2 linked regions of the Diceros bicornis minor genome follow. The protein of the gene in region 2 binds, or shares a complex with, the protein of the main gene of each other region. Links are inferred from orthologs where the notes say so. Each region holds a gene or a part of one and is shown on either strand. Other genes may lie near its edges. The genes, in order: HTATSF1 and DDX46.

Evidence for each region.
Region 1: DDX46 (region 2) and HTATSF1 share a complex: the UniProt entries of both Homo sapiens proteins name them as parts of the 17S U2 SnRNP complex. The link is inferred for Diceros bicornis minor from reciprocal best matches to the Homo sapiens genes DDX46 and HTATSF1.

Annotation. Positions count from the first base shown.
Region 1 is NC_080781.1:124,126,804-124,136,299, reverse strand, and holds the start of HTATSF1 (HIV Tat-specific factor 1), read right to left. Parts: upstream 3,612-9,496; 5' UTR 3,429-3,611; intron 3,245-3,428; 5' UTR 3,190-3,244; coding exon 3,004-3,189; intron 1,290-3,003; coding exon 1,109-1,289; intron 457-1,108; coding exon 409-456; intron 1-408. Other genes in the region: BRS3 (bombesin receptor subtype-3), read right to left, coding at 8,553-8,966. UniProt on the Homo sapiens protein: Component of the 17S U2 SnRNP complex of the spliceosome, a large ribonucleoprotein complex that removes introns from transcribed pre-mRNAs.
Region 2 is NC_080740.1:53,802,312-53,811,774, reverse strand, and holds the start of DDX46 (probable ATP-dependent RNA helicase DDX46), read right to left. Parts: upstream 4,112-9,463; 5' UTR 3,977-4,111; coding exon 3,960-3,976; intron 867-3,959; coding exon 678-866; intron 1-677. Other genes in the region: guided entry of tail-anchored proteins factor CAMLG, read right to left, coding at 8,533-8,724. UniProt on the Homo sapiens protein: Component of the 17S U2 SnRNP complex of the spliceosome, a large ribonucleoprotein complex that removes introns from transcribed pre-mRNAs.

The sequences.
Region 1 (9,496 bases), on a different chromosome or scaffold from region 2:
TGTGTAGTAGGCGATACCATCTAGGTTTGTGTAAGTACACCCTGTGGTGTTCACACAATGACAACATCGTCTAACGACACGTTTCTCAGAACGTATTCCCATCGTTAAGCGACACATGACTGTATACATTAAATTATGCTTTGCTTAGGCCTTGTATCACTGAACCTGAAGGGGCAAAGCACCATAAGTTACCTAAATCAGACAAAAATGATGTCATGCAAAATTACATACACATAACTTTTCTTAGTTTTGTAATAAATAACAAACATATTCCCTGCTAATTAAAACAGCTAAAAATATTGGCACGATGATAAAAAATAGATTTAGAGAAACTGAAAACAAAATCACTTCACAAAAAATCTCATCAAATATTTTCTATTCTAAATTTGTTTAAAAAGGTATACGTACCCGACACGTATACATTTGTATTTCTCCCTTCTTCAACATGAAACCATCCTAAAAATCAAAATGAAATAAATAAAACACATGCAAGAAAAGGTAAGAGTCATAATATGAAACCTTGACAACGTGGCAGTTTCTCAAAACTTCCAGGAACTTTTCCTTACCTTTAGAACAAGACAGACTAACTCAAATCACAGTCCAGCTTTCAAAGATTTGGATCTTTTTACAGATAGTTTCAGAGCCTTGTCTGAAAAAAGATGGCTAACTTATCTTGGTTCTTTATGATTCTGATACTAACTTAAAAAAAAAAACAAAAACTCATCCTTGCACTGACTTTAGGCCCTGGCATGCATAGGTTGCTTCTGACTCCAATCTACTGTGTCAGACATGGCCAAGATGAAACAAGATTGACTTGAGTTCAATTTAATTAAACACAAAAAAATAATCTTACAAACAGAATTTTTGATAATCCCCTAATAATAGTTCTATTTTGCAAAGGAAGAAACTGAGGCATAGAAGTGAAACAGCCTACCTAATACTCACAAATTAGTGTGAGAGCCAACATATAAACCCAAATAATAACTTAAAAAATCCTCATCTTACGATTCCTTCAAAGCTATTATAATTATCCAAAAAGTAATTATATATACATACTCTCACAATTTTTAATTGTTACACTCATGTTTTGCAAGCTAAATCCACTTGCCTGATTCGGCCTTTCTCTTTTCTCCCCTCTTTTTGGGATCACTGGGTTCAGGGGTCTGTCTCTGCGGAGGTTCCTCTACAGTCCTAGTGCCGACATCTTGTACATCTGCAGTAGAGCTAGACGCGCCATCATTAGAAAAGCCGTAATTGGCCTGATACGTAGCAATGAAATCTTCAGTGATCTAAACAAGAAATTTAGTCCACACACATACAGAAATTAAAAAATAATTCCCTCCCATAAAAAGTTTATGCTGTGTTAAATTACAGCACATTCAGTTATACAAGTTAACACAGAAGTGCTTCTGTAGATAATAGTTATCGTAATTAAAGTGTAAATGCAAGAATAGTCACCTTATATAGAAAACTGTGCATAAAATGATAAAAAATAAGAAATGGGTACTTGGATTATCAAAAGAAAAGTCTGAGATACTACTAAAGCATTTTAAGTGATGTTGGCACCTTTCTAGTTGTTTCATTTATAAATTACTACCTCTCTACAGTCTAGCTGACTAAGGCTACAAGTACGTGGAACAAAGCAACTATCAGGTAACAATAAAAATAAAAAGCAATAGTCAAGTAATAATCTAACAGAATCAATTTTTCTTTTACTATATAGATGCACAAAAGTACATGTACACTAAATTTTTAAATATCTGTATGCAAAGAAGACACAGAACTGAACTGTGATTTGGTATATGAAGAACAGAGCTAACAATTGTAAAACGAAATGCTTATTCTAACTCTATCACTAATTAAATCACATTATCATTTAGTGTCAGAACAAATTAAGTACAAACCCAACGCACATCTATCCTCCTGGCTTTTAGGTAAAAAAAGCACAATTGCACAATGAAAGAAATGCAGTTATATCTTCATACTGATCAATGTTAAACATACATAGGAATGGGGAAAATTTTAAACTCAAAGTTTGAAGAGGTATGGGCTTTCATAACTTAAAAACATAGAGTCACAAACTAGTCCATTACCAGACTGTTGTTAAAACTACTCAGAAGGCTGAAGAAACCAAGTCTGCACTGGAGCTGGCACTACCAGGACAGAAGCGAAATAAAAAATTTAACAATTTGGAGGGAAGGGAATATATACACAAATACAAAATGAGAAAGAGAGAAGTTGAAATAATCTTTTAAATAACAGTCAAATTACACAATGGAGACACGGTTGTATTGCTGGTTTGCAAGTCAATTAGTGTGCTATGGTTATCCTCGTGTCCAACCCTAAGAGGCTGGTTACCAGGATACTTCTACTGAAAAGTTCACAGAACCAAGTTTAACACCAGTTATTTTACTTCCAAGCTGAACCAAAATAATTAACAATGTCCAAGTACTCTAAATAAATATACACAGATTTTTCCATCCATACTCTGTGCACTTCTACTCATATTCCTATGGTTATATGGTTCAAACATTTGTGTCTAAGGACAAAATTTAATAGGAAAGTAAAGAGAGGTGCAAAGTTCAATCAGTAAAGATTTCTAAATGACTACTCTTTTTTTCCCAATCAAGAAGCTGCATTTTGCACATAGTATATAAGCTAAACATCTGCATTCCTAGGATAAATGAGTTGAGCTACTAAATTTGAGCTTGGTGTTTCTCCTCTTTGCAACAAAAAGCAGTTACCAATGTAATAACCAACTGTGACCTTCACAGGTAATATTAATAAGGCATAGAAAAGATTTAAGAATTAAATACATTTAAGACATCTTCCTAAAGATTTAGCTTCCTTTACACATCGGTTCTGCAACAGACACAACAAAACAAACGTCACTATCCATGCGGGCTCTAACCTAGGACCTCAGCAAAGAAAACGTCAAAGGAGCGCCCCGCGAGGCTGGCCAGGCGGGCCCGCTCTGCAGTGGCGCCCGTGCCACTCTCTTACCTTGGGGAACCAAGCCTTCTTGTCCAGGTCCCATTCGTAGGGGGTGTCAGCCGGCTGCTGCCCGAAAGAATCGGGTTCCCCGCCGGGATCTTTCTGGGTGTTGTCGTCCTTGGTGTCTCCGTACAACTCTTGCATTCGCAACTGCTCATCAAACTCCTCGTTGCCATCCAAGTTGTTGCCGCTCATGTTGCCGACTTAGCCCGAGGGCAGGGTCCAGGCGAGCGAAGAGGCCGAAATGACGCTGGAGAGGCACAGAGAAAAGGCGGTCGGCTGCGCTCGGCCCGCGCCCCGCAGTCCCCCGGCCCGCCTCCCCGCGGCGCCCCAGCAGCCCCCGGGAAATCGGGGCCGCTCCGCGGCCGCGCCGCCCCCCGCTCCGCCCGCCGCGCGCGCGTCGATGCTCCCAGCCCGGCCGCGCCGCCGCCCACCTGGCTCACTCCGCCGGGCCTCGGCGCCGCCGCTCGATCCAGGGCGCGAACGCTGCGCGCCCGCGCGCCGCCGCCGCCGCCGCCGCCCGGGTCTGAGGCGACTGCGGCTCCCGCGGCAACGTCAGGAAATTACTTGAAAACGGAGGCCCGCTCAGGCTGACGCAGTCGCCATTGTAGGCGCGTCGCGACGTCGCGGGTCGCGCCGACACGCCCACCGTGGCGTCAACAGGCGCCGACGCGGGCAAGAGGTGCGGGGGCCAGAGGGCGGGGCGCCGGGGGTGCCGCGTGATAATGGCCGCCCGGGCCGCCTCAGGGGGCAGCGGTACCTCCGGCACCTCGGGCTCCGCCGGGTCCGCGGCGGGCAGGGCCGAGCCGGGCCGGTAGCCCGAAGGCGTGGGAATGTTCCCACTGGGCAGGCGCCGCGGCGCGCTTCGGGCGGCCGCCATCTTGGGGGAGTGGATGGGGCGGACAGGACAGGTTTGTCTTGCTGAGAAAAAGACGCGCCTCCTTCGCCCAGAGGCCCCTCCTCCGCGTGGGAAACGAGTCTTTTACTTGTTTCTTTATAGTTTCTCTAGGATAGGCGCCGGCTCTTCTGCGTCTTGGTAGCCTCAGTTCCTAGCACAGGGTCTGGGGTCTAGCGCGTACTGAATGAGTGAGTGAAGGAATGAACGAAGGAACGATGGGTAGAAGAACCAACCTTCTTTTCCAAGCCTCATCCCCTCCTTTTTCTCTCCGGTACCTTCTTCAGGCTGGAGATGGACTCTGTGGAAAGGGAGGGAGGGCAGCAGTTGCCTACCTCTCATGCTCCATGATTCAGAGATGCTCAAGCTGCAAACCTGAAACTTAAATGTAAACATCCAAGTATAAACACCAGCTTTGCTGGCCGACTAACTTCATTTTTTGTCTTTCTGTTGGAAAGACACGGAATGCTTTTCCTCTAAACAGAACTTTTTCCCCGGGAGTTATACATATTGCTGAAAATGAAGAGGTCTGTATTTTTTAATCGGGCAGGCATTTATTGGGTTCCTACTAGGTACCAGGCACTGTAGTAGGCTCTGGCGAGCCAGCAGTCAGCAAGACAGGCACAGCTCGGGGGTTACACACTTAGGTTGTCTGGGACATGATAGGATAGAAGAACTGGACGCTGGAGAACAGCGGTTCCCAAACCTTTTGGTGTTGGTACCCCTTTACACTCAAAAAATTATTTAAGACCTCAAAGAGATTTTGTTTATGTGAATCATTCTTATCAATATTTGTCACACTAAAATTAAAACAGCTATTTAAAAGAATATTAATTCCTTTAAAACTAACAATAAACTCATTATGTGTAAACATAAATTTCATAATGCATACTTGAGGGTGGGGAAAAGCTTCCCAGAAGAAGTTCTTTTTACTCTTCTAGTGACCTTTGCTTCTAAACATAGCGATTGAGTATGGGTTCTAGAAAATCCTAACTCCCCAAATACTAGCTGTGTGAATATAGTTTTAACCATAACAACGATTTTTAAGTAGTAGCTTGAGTTTAGGTTTTTTTTTTTTAATTACATTTCTTTTTCATGGAGTTCTTGTTTTGGTGGAGACTTTTGGAGAACTGCACTTGCATGCATTTTTATAATATAGATAACATCAGTTTTGTTAGGTTCATTTAAGCATTGCTGAATATTTCTTCTTGGCTCCAGAAATAGCATACAGCTGTTTTCAGCAATGTGTTGTTGGGCTCCCATTTTATTCCTGAGTGAGATCACAGCATAGGTGATAATATGCTATACAGCCCTACTGCACGTGACACTCTGAATGCCTGCTATATCCACGGGCCCCTCTGAGCAGGTGGCCAAAAAGGTTCCTTATGCCTACGTCCCATGGGGCCCAGCCACCCTGACCCAAAGGCTGTCCAGAGGTGTGTGAGGGGACCTGGCAGGGTAGCCGTGCTTTCTAGACAAAATTTAACTGACTGAGCCAATAAGAGCGTCTCCCCAGGAGAGGAATGAATATGGAAGGACAGGGACATGGTCAGAGTAGCACAGAAGCAGGGGAGGGCCACACAGGGAGGGTAATAAGCAGAACAGAGGCCTGCTGTGGAGAAGTTCCCCAGTGGTGAGAGCAGAAGCTGAGGCAGTGACAGGGTCACTGAGTCACCATCATAGTGCAGCAGTGGAATTGGGAGCTAAGCACACTTGTACCTACAATGGCGTTCTCTTTGGCCACGAGACCTGACAGTTTTTTTTTTTTTTTTAAACAATGCTGTTGTCTCTATGAGGGCTGGTTCCTGTTTGTTGTTATTTCCCTGTATAGTCATAGAATTAACTCCCTAGTAACTGAGGAAATCTGGAAGTATCTCTGTCTTCATAAGACAGAGAGCTTTTTTGCAAGTCACAGAAACACTCAAGGTAACAAGCAAAAACGAGGGAGCTTTATTATTATGAAGATAGAGAGTAGCTCCTGAAATTCCAGGCCTGGACTGTAGATGGGCCACATGAGGGGCTGCTGGACCCAGGAAGCCGAACCAGTCTCAGAACCTGGACAGCGGCTTCTCTCTGAGTATCTCCTTCATCCTTCTCTCTTTGACCTCTGTAAGGGGTGATCTGTGCTGTACTCCTGATCTAATAGGCCAAGGCCTTCTTAGTGGATAAAAATATAATAACCTACAAAGCAGAGATCTCTTGGTCAGAGAAGTCACCTACCTGGCGTAGGAACTCTTTCTGGAAAACTACTGAGCTATACCAAACTAGATTTTTTTTTAATGGCCCATTCAAGCTTACTCTGTTCGGGAATTTTCCTGTCCCCACTTTCTGTAATCTCAAGACTTAGTGGAAATAAAAGTAACTCTGTTTGACAAAATGATTGATGGATCCCTGACTTAAGATGGTTATAACTGCAGAAATTCTTTAAACCCAAATTTGCTATTTTCACTAGGTATGCCAGTGTTAAATATTTTGTAGTGCTTTCAGCTTCAGTGACGAAGACTTGCCCATCGAACGTTATGGTTGTGCCTAAGTATGTTTTGTGGCTTTGTTTTCCTGCTTGGTAGCATATTATTATGGTCCATCATTCTAAGTCTTGGGTCATGGCAGACCCCGAGCAAAGTTGAGAAGTATACAAAATTTGTTTTTCATGTGTCCCACCTCTCCACCCATTTAGGACCATCTCCAAAGAAATGAAATCTTCCAGAGTAACATTTCTGGCACCACAATAGGCAAGGTGAAAGAAATTGTGAATATTGGGGCCTACTTGTATGGTTAGTTCTGACAAGGATAATCTGTTAAAAAAAGAGACCACTCCCTCCAAAAAAATCCAATCAAAGCCATGAATTTTAATCTTAATTCCCCAACTCTGGATGGGAGGCTGATGCCCTATAAGATCATTTAGAGAATTATTTTATGTCAGATCCCTAAGTCACGTAGGGATTACTGAGCATGAAGAAAATGAAAGTTCTTTGAGCTCTAGCTTTATCAACTGCTAAAAGGCTCTCTTGGCTTTTGTAATCTGGTACTTTAATCAAGTTATTTCTAAACTGTTATGCTTAGGAGAGTAAAGATGTAATTTTTACCCAGAGTGAGGAAAACAGTCAAATATTTTGGAGTTTGGTGACTTGAAAATCACTTAAATTTTCGAGTTAAATGGGTTCTCAGTTATCTTCTGTTGGAAGTATTGTTTTTAGAATATAAAATTACATAGTCATTTAAAACTTTATTTCACATTTATTTATTTCCCCCCTTATTACAATGTCCAACTTAAAACAATACAAATACAATACTAACACCCCCCCACTTTGACTAAACTGATTTTACAGAAATGTAAAGTCTAGTGTTAATATATATCCCCTTTTTGAGCCACATGATTAGCAAAAGTTCACAACTACACAAGCCATTTAAAGAAAGCTCGAAACTACCAAAAGCACACCCCAAAATCAAGTTTTTGAAAATACAAATTTAACTACCTATAGTGCCAAACATATGCTTTAATTTGCCACAAGAAAACATTTTCTGAAACCACAAATCTGAATCTATGTCTATTGACAAAAATTATTTGAAATAACAGTTATGAACAAGCTTATAGCATTAGCAAGTAGGAGCAGAGGAGAGAAAATCAGAACCTTCCATCTGATTTCCAAGGGCAGAGACTAATTAGGTCATACTCTTACAGGTTTTAGGCACCCATCAAGTTTAATGAAGTCAAGCAGAAAGATGATCTGATAACAACTGTGCACCCAGGTGTTAGGGATTTCCTGTGGTACTTCTGCACTTTTTAGAAAGAGGGCACTGCTTACCAGAAAGAAAGGAATTTCCTTAGAGGAAAAATTTCAGACACTGGTAGGCTTGCACATTTTTCAACACAGGTCCTTCCCTGGAGCCCTCAAATGACGCGGTAAACGTGGCCACTTATTCTGCCTGTGAATAAGGCAAGTTATTCACAATATTTGTGAAAGATAACTTTGCCCAATTATCAATCAATGCTGGTTGTAAGTAGAACCACATTAAGTCAGTAAGTGTTGACCCAGTAAGGCAAGCCCCCTGCCCCAGATCCTTACTCAGTATTGTACTTTATACTCGCTGACCCCAAAACACTTGCCTTGCAATGCACAGCTTTAGTTTTAGTGGAATAGAGATTAATGGAAAAGGGCAGTCAAAAAACCTGTGAAGGTTTATTTTTTAGGATTTTGTTTTTCAAGAAAGCGACAGAAGAGATGTTTTATCTCTCTTTGATCCCCTTTTCATATGCAAGTATAATCTCTAGATTTACACCACATAATAAACACAAACACAGTTTTATGCAACTCACAGGAGTATATGAGAAATAAGCATCATAGATGTGATGGAAACAAATCAGAGTTGTAAGTGTCATCTTGTTTATTTTACCTTCCCTCCTATTCAGCCTCCCTTACTACCCACTGACGTATGCAAATATGTCTTTCTATACCTACTGAGGCTTCACTTTATTTAGAAAGCCCAATGACGTTAATGTTTGTACGTTGAAGAAAATCAGTTTGTCTTTTACTTATCAGGATCCCTCACTCCTAAGATTTCAGCACAATTCACAAACAACACAAACCCAACCATACACCTACGCACAGCTCAGAGTCGGATACACACGCTGGGAGGAAAAATACCATTTTTAATTGAAAAGCTAGACTCTGTCGTCTTCCTTCTTCACACTACACCCGGTGAACAAGGTCACACTAATTTCAGACACCTGCCTGCTCCCAGCACCAGGGAGCCGTCCCATCACAGCCAGGTTGTTCAGAGGGGTATCTGCAGGTGGAGGGTCAGGCAGCTCTGCCTTGCAACAGAGTAACTGATCTTTAAAATGCTGCTGGAAGGTTTTACTCAGCCAGTAAAGAGCAAAGGGGTTGACACAAGAATTGCTGAATGCCAGGACCCGAGAGAAAATGGTGACAATAAAATGAATGGCAGAGGGCTCCACGTAGGTTTGATAAGTGAATGAACGGTAGAGATACAGGAGGTGATTTGGCAACCAGCAGAGAGCAAACAGAGCCACCAGCACTAATACCGTTTTGGCAATTCTCTTCCGGGATTCAATCTATAGGGGGGAAGAAAAATGGCAAAAAATAGAAAATCATTTAGCTGACAGAGATTTTAAAAAGCTATTCTCTAGATTTACATAGAAATTTACAGTTAACAGGCTGGTGTCCCTTTGAACGTGCGTTTGTGAGATAACTGGCTGGGATGTGCAGGAAGGCAGCCTGTGGTTATAGAATACAGTACGTTAATTGGCATGGTAACCCATGATCTTGGTCTCATTAGCTCTAATTCAGAGACTCCCACCCCTGGTTTTGAGATACTCTAGGATGTTTCCAATTATCTCAAGGAGTGTTGTGGAATTCTTGAAAATTTAATTTAATTTAAAAAATAGGTGCTATACAAAACTGCTTTCACTGCATCAGCAGAGGCTGAGTAGATTAGAATATTCTTCTGGTGTTTATGAAAGTTGCCAAGCTGCTACCAAAAATTGTTTTTAACCTATAGGAATTCTAGCTATATAGTCAAAGGAATAAAAACCAATGTGCTATCCTTCATATGTGAAAATAATCCTACTTACACCTGTTAATA
Region 2 (9,463 bases):
CTGATCTTCCTCACCGAAAAAAAAAAAAAAAGTTCTATGATCAGTTCACAGCACCTGTACAACTTTGTCTTCTTTCCTATTTTAATGAGAAACTGCATTAGAAATTTTTTTGGTGTCAGGGAGGTTATTTTTATTTAAAGACTGTGTTTCACCTCCAGAAAGGTTATGACTACTTGACTCGTATCAAGGAATATGTAATCAAGTAAAAGTAAAATAAAAATTAGGGTGTTCCTCAGTTTAAATCTAAAACAGTTCTTTAAAATAGTTTCAAACAGCAAGGAGGGCTTGAAGATGGCTCCATCCTGTTCCCTTCTTCTGTCAGCTTTAGTAGCTGCTCTGAACACAGTGGTCAGCTCTCTTGGGACAGAATTAGAACACAACTCCCTTGATGGCATATTATCTTATGTTTTACTTCTTATTTTAACTTCTCAGGGGGCTTCAAGGGTTCTCTTTGGATTACAGGAAATACAGCCTAAAGTTTCCAAACCTAAAATAATGTTTGAGAGAGTCTTTGTTCTATGCAAATCACTTCCAGATCTAATCAAAGAAGCTGGGATTAAAGCAGAGGGCCTGCAAAAGGGGCCACTAAATTCTAGTCCAAAACACACTTTCAAAGAAGCACAATTTAGCCAAGAAGGCCCAATTTACCATGGGTCCTCTGGAGATTAATGTCTTACCTCAGACGCTTCCTGTCTCTTGACCGAGATCTTCTTTTATCTCTACTACGAGACCTCTCTCTCCTTCTATCTCTGTCTCTGCTTCTAGACCGTCTGTCATCTCCACGTTTACTTCTTTTGTCTGAGGGTGAGCGACTTCTAGATCGACTTCCAGAGCGTCCCCGTGAAGCCGATCGCTTCCGATAGTGGCTGAGATGTTAAGTTACAGATTAAGCTTAGCAAATACAGTTGGCTTCTATTATATTTATTACATTTTTCAAAAAAAATCTCAGCAGACAAATTAAACACTGAAAGGACACTTTATACATACACTTCTTTAAAATTAGGGGGAAAGAATATAGCTATAGCACATGTTGGGGGATGGGTACTGTCTTGAAAAGGAAATAAGGACAGTGAACAAAACAGACCAGGCTCCTGCCTTTGGGCCTTAAATAGCTTGCATTGTGGTAAAGGAAGAGACGACAGAAAAGGAAAAAAATAAATATACAATATGTCATGCGGTGCTATGCAGAAAAACACATCAGAATAAAGGAAAAAGAGAATGAGAGGTAGGAGGTTTGCTATTTTATACTAGGTGATTAGACAAGGCCTTGCTAATAAAGTGACATTTTGATTGCTTGAAAGAAGTAAAGGAAGGAACCACGTAGACATGGGGGAGGAATCTTCCAGGCAAAAGGCGCAGCAAGTGCAAAGTCCCTGAGGAGAAAGCTTGATTGGCGTGTTGCAAAACAGCAAGGAAGGCAGATGTAGCTAGGGTTGAATGAGTGAAAGTGGCACGAGAGAAGGTCAGAGATATAGCAGGGTAGCCAAATGTGGAGAACCTTATAGGCCATTATAAGGACTTCTTCTTTTACTCTGAATGAGATGAGAAGCTACTGGAAGATTTTAAGCAGATGTGTGAAATAACCTAACTAATGTTTTTAAAGCCTTACACTGGCTGCTGAGGGGAGAACAAACAGAAAGAAGGCAAGGGCAGAAGCAGGGAAAACACGTAGAATGCTATAGCAATCATCCAAGTAAAAGATAATGGTGGCTTGGATCGGAATGTCAAGTGTGGAGCCGTTAAGAGTGTCAACATTTGGATATTTTGAAGCTAAAGCTGATTGGATTTAACGACTAATTAAATGTCAAGTGTGAAAGCAAGGGAGACATCATGCGTGTCTCCAAGATACTTGGCAGATCGAGTAGAAAAATGAAGTTGCCATTTACTAAGGTGGGCTGAGGGAGGAGCAGATTTGGGGGGAAGGTGGGAAATCAGGATATTAGGCATCCAAGTGGAAATGTACAGTAGGTAGTTGAAATATGAGTCTGGAGTTCATGAAGGAAATATAAATTGGGAAGTCATCAGTGTACAAAGGCTACTTAAAGCAATAAATCTGGATAAGACTGCTAGGGAATGAGGACACCTGATTTATCCCTCAAGTACCTGAAATTCAATGTGTAGAAACCCAAACCTGTTACCTTTCCCTCTCCAATTTATCATCCCCAATTCCAGTCAGCTGGCTCAAAGATACCACTTATCTTCAGTATTTTTCTCTTTCTCATTCTACACAACCAATAAAACACCAAGTATCTCCAATCTCACCTCTGTAATTCTTTTCACAATACACTGCCTCCTCCGAGTTCCCACTGTCACTACTCCATATCAGACTTATCTACGTAGGACATTTTAGGAGACCCCTGGTCTTCCTGCTTTTACTCTCTTTTCCCTTAAACCTGTTTACTCATTGTTGCTAGGGTAATCTTCATAAAGCAGAGTTCTGATCCTATTATATACACATAAACACACACTTCTTACTCAAACTCTTCAAAGGCTCCCAAATAAATTCTTATCCTCAAAACTACAGCTACAAATTCATCCACATTCTGGGCCCGAGTCCCTTTCAGAATCTACCTCCCACTATTTCTTTTCAACCCTTCATGAAACCTATATATGGAGGCAAACCAGGATCTATTTATTTCTCCAACAACCTGCTCTTTTCCATCTCTGAGCCTTTCGTTATGCCCTGAACAAACCTAGAGTACAGGCCCTGCGAGGCAGAGAATTAGGGGAAAAGGCTGAAGGGACTTTCTCATGGAGGGCCTTTAAGGCCGTGCTGAAAGAGTCTGACTTTATCTTGGAAGCACCAAGAACCAATGGAGAGGAAAGCAGGGGAATGACACGATCTTAGCTTTATTTCAGAAGTATCACTACGGCTGCAGTGTGAAGATCTACTAGGAGGGCAAGATCAGAGGAGATAATCAATTTGAAGCAGGTGTAGCAGTCTGAGCAATAAATGATTAGGGCCTGAAGACAGAGACAGTAGGAATGGGGAAACAGCACAGAATCCAACAGGATGTAGGCAGTAAGAGAGAAGAACGAATCAAATAAAGATCACTCCTAGGTTTCTGGTCTGGGTGGCCAGATGAACAGCAATGCCTTCACAGAGAGTTAAAGACCTTTACAAGAATTTTCCGCAGTTATGGAAATATTGTTTATCTTTACCTAGGTGATGACTACACGGTTTATATATTTGCTAATTTCATCAAGCTCTACCCTTAAGCTTCGTCCATTTCCCTGAATGTTAATTTTACCTCAATAAAGTACTATTACTTAATTATTTACAACCTAAATACAAAGGATCTTTCAGTCACTGCTAAATACATAGTAAACACCCATCCTTAAGATAAAAATCTCCAAGTCCCAAACCAGGTAACGATCTCAAGTTTTGAAAAGATATCATAGTTCTAATGAGACCTCCCAGTCCACAGGTTAAAAAGGATAGAAAACATAACAAATATGGTCTATTTGCAAAATAAATGTCCATGCAATAGTATTTATTGTAGCCCAATAAAAGCCTAGAAACGTAGAGTGGTGTAGGTGATGTAAAAATGTTTGTCCACACGCTCCTTTCAGCTGACTTGGGAAGATATCACACACGCACAAAGAACTCAAATAGAGAGCGATGGGCTCCAATGAAATGTTGCAAAGGCGAAGCGGTAAGAAATTCAACTGGGATCACTACTGACGAGGCCACCAGGGCAGGCTCCGCGGAAGTGGCGGGATGTGGTGCCCAACCACTGATGTCCTGGAGGGGTGTTCCCGCTCCAGGGGCTCGAACCCAGCGATGGCACTACCGTCGCCAGCCCAAGTACAGCCACTTCCTCAGCCGAGGTCTCCCAGCCCCTCCAGTGGCCGCGGGCAGCGCTGGCCGCACGTGGGGCCGCGCCGGGCCGCGGCCACCTCAACTCCCGCCTCTTCCCCCACTCTCAGGAAGCCGCTCGCCCGCCGCGCCACCTCACCGTGACTCCCGGCCCATGCTGCCGGCCGCCAGAAGGGGCGCCCCTCAGGACCACGCGCAGGACAACCGGACAAAGGAGGAGGCCGCGCTGCCCTCGGTTCGCCGTGCGAGAAGCAGCACTAAGCGGAGGCAGCAGCTACAGCGGCGGCCGCCATCCGAGCGCGGCCAACGAAAACAGGACGCGCTGGCGCTGACGGCAGAAGGAAGGAAGAAGCGGACCGGAAGCTGCTGCCTCTCCACAGCGCCGCCTCTCGGCTGGAGGCCGCACACCGCCGGCCGCGCAGACAGACGGTGCCAAGGCGCGTTTTCTGTGCACGGCCAGGGAAGCCCCCGCGCGTTGGTGCGGTGGAGGGCGGCGCATCAGCCTTGAGGGTTTTGGGAGAGTGTTTTCTGCAAGGTCCACCAACGCGCCATGTGCATCCACGAGCTGTCCTGGACGTGTACTGACGTCTGCCTTAACCTGCGCTAAGAGATGCTACAAACATCTCCATTCACTCTCATTCATTTATACATTCATTCATTTATATATATTGTTACGTGTCAGGCATGCGCTAGATCCGGGGGAGCTTACAGGCTAGGGGGAATATAGACATTACTAAAAACACAAGTAGTTGTAATACAACAAGAAAGAGATTCCACCGTAGGAGAGGGGTTCAGAAAAAGAATTCCCTGAGGAAGTGACTTTTGAGGTGAGATTTGAAGACTGAGTAGGAGTTAACTTGAGAAGAGGACGAAGAGCGAAAAATACATTCTCAAGATTATAATGGTTCTCAATATTGCTTGCACTTGGAAGCTTTAAAAAAATAATACAGATGCTTGTGTTCCATCCTGATATTCTGATTTAATTGGTTTGGAGTGCTACCTGTGCATTGGGAATGTTCAAGCTTCCTAGGGGACTCTGAAGTACAGTCAAGCTTGAGAACCGCTTGCCTGATGGAATACACACAAAAATGTTGAGTTGCTTAAGCAGAAAGCTGTAATGGAGTTGGGGAGAAGCTCTCCTATTTACATGCCTCTGTACTATTTTACTTTCTTACATATCAGGATGATAGAAAAGTTCTATATCTTGATTGTGGCGGTCGTTGGTTGAAAATAACGTTTGTCAAAATTCATTGAACTGTACACATTAAATTGATGCATTTTATTGTATGTAAATTTTACCTCAAGAAATTTGGTTTTTAAAAAAAAATGAAACCGAGTTAAGACTCCAAGACAAGCTTCTACTCTTCCTCTGTGGCTTACTGCCCACCTGCGGCAGCAGTGCAGTCCACCCCAAGGGTAAGGTAGGCCTGAGCGATTATGTGACAAAATGGACACCAATGAGGGTCAGGTATCAGAGCCACTGTAAATTGCTTGTATGTTGGTTGAAGGTAAGGAGTATGGTTTTCAGTCTAAAAGAAATAGGAAACCACTGGTTACTTAAACAGCGGAGACACTGAGAAGTGGTCAGATTCTGGATGTATTCCGGAGGCAGCACTCCAAACAGTAATTGATAAATTGAGTGTGAACTGTGAGGGAAAGGGTGGAGTAATGATGACTCTCAGGTTTTGAACAGAGGTACTATGGATTGTTGTGAATTTAGGGAGATGAGAAAGGCGTGGGAGCAGCAGATTTGGTGGGGGGAGGGGAGAGAAAAATCAGTCGTTCTGTTTCAGTGATGTGATGTTTGAGATGTCTACTAGATATACAGGCCATACTGGCTACATAAGGGAATACAGTTGTCCCCCCTTATCTGCGGTTTCTCCTTCCTAGGTTTCAGTGTCCTCTGGTGACCATCTGGGTTATCAGATCGACTGTCACAGTACTGCAGTGCTTGTGTTCAAGTAACCCTTATTTTACTTAATAATGGCCCCAAATCTCAGTATTAGTGATGCTGGCAATTCAGACATGACAAAGAGAAGCCGTAAAGTACTTCCTGTAAGTGAAAAGATGAAAGTTTTCAACTTAATAAGGAAAGAAAAAACTTGTATGCTGAGGTTGGCTAAGATCTACAGTAAGGATGAGTCTTCTGTCTGTGAAATTGTGAAGGAAAAAGAAATTTGTGCTAGTTTTGCTGTCACACCTCAAATATGTATGTAGCACAGGAAAAAACAGCATATATAGAGTTCGGTACTATTAGTGGTTTCAGGCATCCACTGGGGGTCTGGGAACGTATCCCCCTCGGATAAGGAGGGACTACTGTATATGAGTCTGGAGTTCAAGGGAGCAATAGAGGTTAGAAAGGTAAGAATCAGAGGCACTTTACAGAATGTATAATAATACATGGTATTTGAAGCCATGGAAATGGATAAGGTCATGTAGAAGTTAATGTTACTGCTGGAACAGATTTTTAAAATCACATACTCAAGTTTCTTGATTTTAAGCAAGAAAACTGAGACTCGGGAAACTAATTTAATCCTCAATCACTCATATTTTTGGAATCTAAGCTGGAACCAGAACCCAGGCATTTGATACCCAGGCCATAGCTCTTTCCAAGATACTTCATTTCTAACTCCCCTTTAAGAGAAGGGGATGAGTCTTCACATCCTGTCACATTCACATGACAATTCTGTCTTTTTATGCCACATATATATATTTATATATGTATTTATAATACATATATTATGCATATATATATATATATATATTTTTTTTTTTTTGCTTAGGAAGATTCGCCCTGAGCTAACATCTGTTGCCAATCTTCCTCTTTTTGCATGTGAGCCTCCACAATAGCATGGCCACTGACAGACGAGTGGTATAGGTCCGCACGCAGGAACTGGGCCTGGGCTGCCAAAGGGGAGCGTGCTGAACTTAACCACTTAGGCCACTGGGGCTGGCCCTGCCCACAATATATTTATGTAAGTTCACAGCACTTCTACGTCCTGGAAGAAGCTGCTTTATCTATTACCACAGGTCTAAGAGTAATTATAGTCTACTATGTCTCCAATATATCACTTTTAGCAAACTGCCCTGGCTTCCAAAGCAGATTTTGATTCTGACTAATTAACCCAGTTCTGAGTATGTCATGATCCTCTTGCTGTTTTTAGTACCAACTGTGATGTACACATGTCCATTTATACAACTAATCAGACTAAAAAGCTATTGATCGAAGATGTCACCTCTCAACAACCATCCTTGTCAATCTAGTTTAACTCATATACATTTCAAGTCCCTGAAATTTCTAAATAAAATATTCTTTTTAATTATTCCAAACACTAAGAAATTTCCATTTCCATTTGATATTATTCAACACTCTTGGTGAGAGATGCAAGCAAATGATCAGGAAGATGCCAATTAGCTGAGGAGAAAAAGCGGCATTGACAGACACGGATATATCTTACAGCTCTTCTATTTGAAATAAATTGGATAATGATCTACAATTACTAAAACTTTACACATGTCAACTGGCTAAATGGGGCTTTTTTCTTTAGGAAACAAAAGAAGTAAACGTGCAGTTGAAGACCTCTAGCGTCTTCCCAGGGATTGGGGAGAAAGTGACAAATGCAAGGATGCTTTCCAATCCTCTAGATACTAGATTCCTTATGGAATCAGGAAAAATATGTGCTTATAATCTTAACCTAAGTCAACAGAACAGACTTAAATTATTATACTTATTCTCCATTATTCTGGTTCAAAATAAAATGCCAAAAACCAAGACTTTGTGAGTAATAAAAAAAAAGTATATGTTTTTAATATTACAAAGATTAATCAAATAGACCATACAAAAATCTGTAGGAAATGTAATACCAAGCAATATAACACTTATGTTTTATACTTTTTTAAGAAGACAAATCTTCCAAATATAACAGCGTTACCAAGTTAGTTAAAAGGATATTTATGCTATTGGGTTGTATACCTCAGTCAATTCTTCAAATCCCATTTTTATATCTAATCATTCTATTCTAGTTTGCTTAAAAAACACACTTCTGAAAATTGAAAACTCAAAAGTGTAAATTTCCAATTCTGAGTTTGGTAATAAAAATTTTCATAAATATAAATTAAGATTTCATAAATACCTTCTAATTTCACACGTATGAATCTTAATAATTTCTTCCACTAAATATTTGCACTGGAATAAAAATTAAGATACTGACTCAACAAGAAAAGATAAAATTGGCTACCTTATTCAGCTCTTATAAGTTAAAATGTGCAGACTTAACATTAGACAATTCCGTTTCTTTCATTTTATTTTTAAGATGGCTCCATTTCTTAAGACAGAACAACACAAACACAAGATACAGTCATTGGGGCTGGCTGAGACCACATTCACCTGCTCTCCTAAAAGCACTAGGTCAGCCCCCAAAAGAAGAATTACAAATCTGAGAAGTTAGGGAAAGGCGTAGGACTAGGGATTCTAATTAAACAAGAAAAATCAATTAATGACAATGGTATTCTATTCTTCACATCATTATTAATACAAACTCAACCCTTTTAAATCAGGGAACCTGCCATGCCAATCCTAATCAAGTGGCTTTACAACCCCTATAAAGTAAAAGAATTACATAAAGGTGTAAACTGATTTGCCTCTTTAAAGACATTGCAATATAGAAGAGAAATTGTTTTTTTTAAGCTTCTCCTTCTGAGTTCTGCAGGCTTCATGGTACTTCACAGCCCCAATAATCAAGCAGTTCATGACAAAAGATAAAAGTGAAAAAGTAGACACAGAGATCTGTGAAAACTTCGCCCATTTTGCTATAGGTATCCATCGATCGATTTATCACTTCAGCAGGAATTCCAGATAACAGAAGTGCAGCTGTTAGTACTGTTGTCTTTATCTTCTTTTCACTCTGTATAGAAAAAGACTTAAATAAATCTTACAGCTTTCAGAAGACTCCTTAAGCTCTATAAAAACATTATCAGTATATTTTTGCCTAACTGATTTCAAAACTGTTAATGAAGTTTCAAAACATCAATCAATAATATATCAGCAGACATTTACTGAGGATATAATATGTAAAGCAGCAAACCGCTAGACAGTAGGGAAAAGACCATTTTTGCTATCAAAGGTTAAAAAAAGTCTTATCTTGGAAGCAAGACAAATAACAATTTAAGATATATACAACAGCATAAGACAAAAACAGGATAAACATTACTAGACAGGATATAAAAGACTTCTAAATGAATGACATGGATAATGTGTGGCATGGTGGCTCAAAGGAGACAGAAATTAGTTCAGGCTTTTATGTATAAATAAAGCACAGAGAAGGATTTCAGAAGGAAGCGGAATTAAAAACAGGTCCTCAAGAATGAGCAATATTGGGGCCAGCCCAATGGCATAGTGGTTGGGTTCATGCACTCCGCTTTGGTGGCCCAGGGTTCATGAGTTCAGATCCTGGGTGTGGACCTGTGTACTGCTTATCAAGCCATGCTGCGGCAGGCATCCCACATATAAAGTAGAGGAAGGTGGGCAAGGATGTTAGCCCAGGGCAAATCTTCCTCAGCAAAAAGAGGAGCATTGGCAACAGATGTTAGCTCAAGGCTAATTTTCCTCATCGAAAAAAAAAAAAGCTACAGTTACCCAGAGAA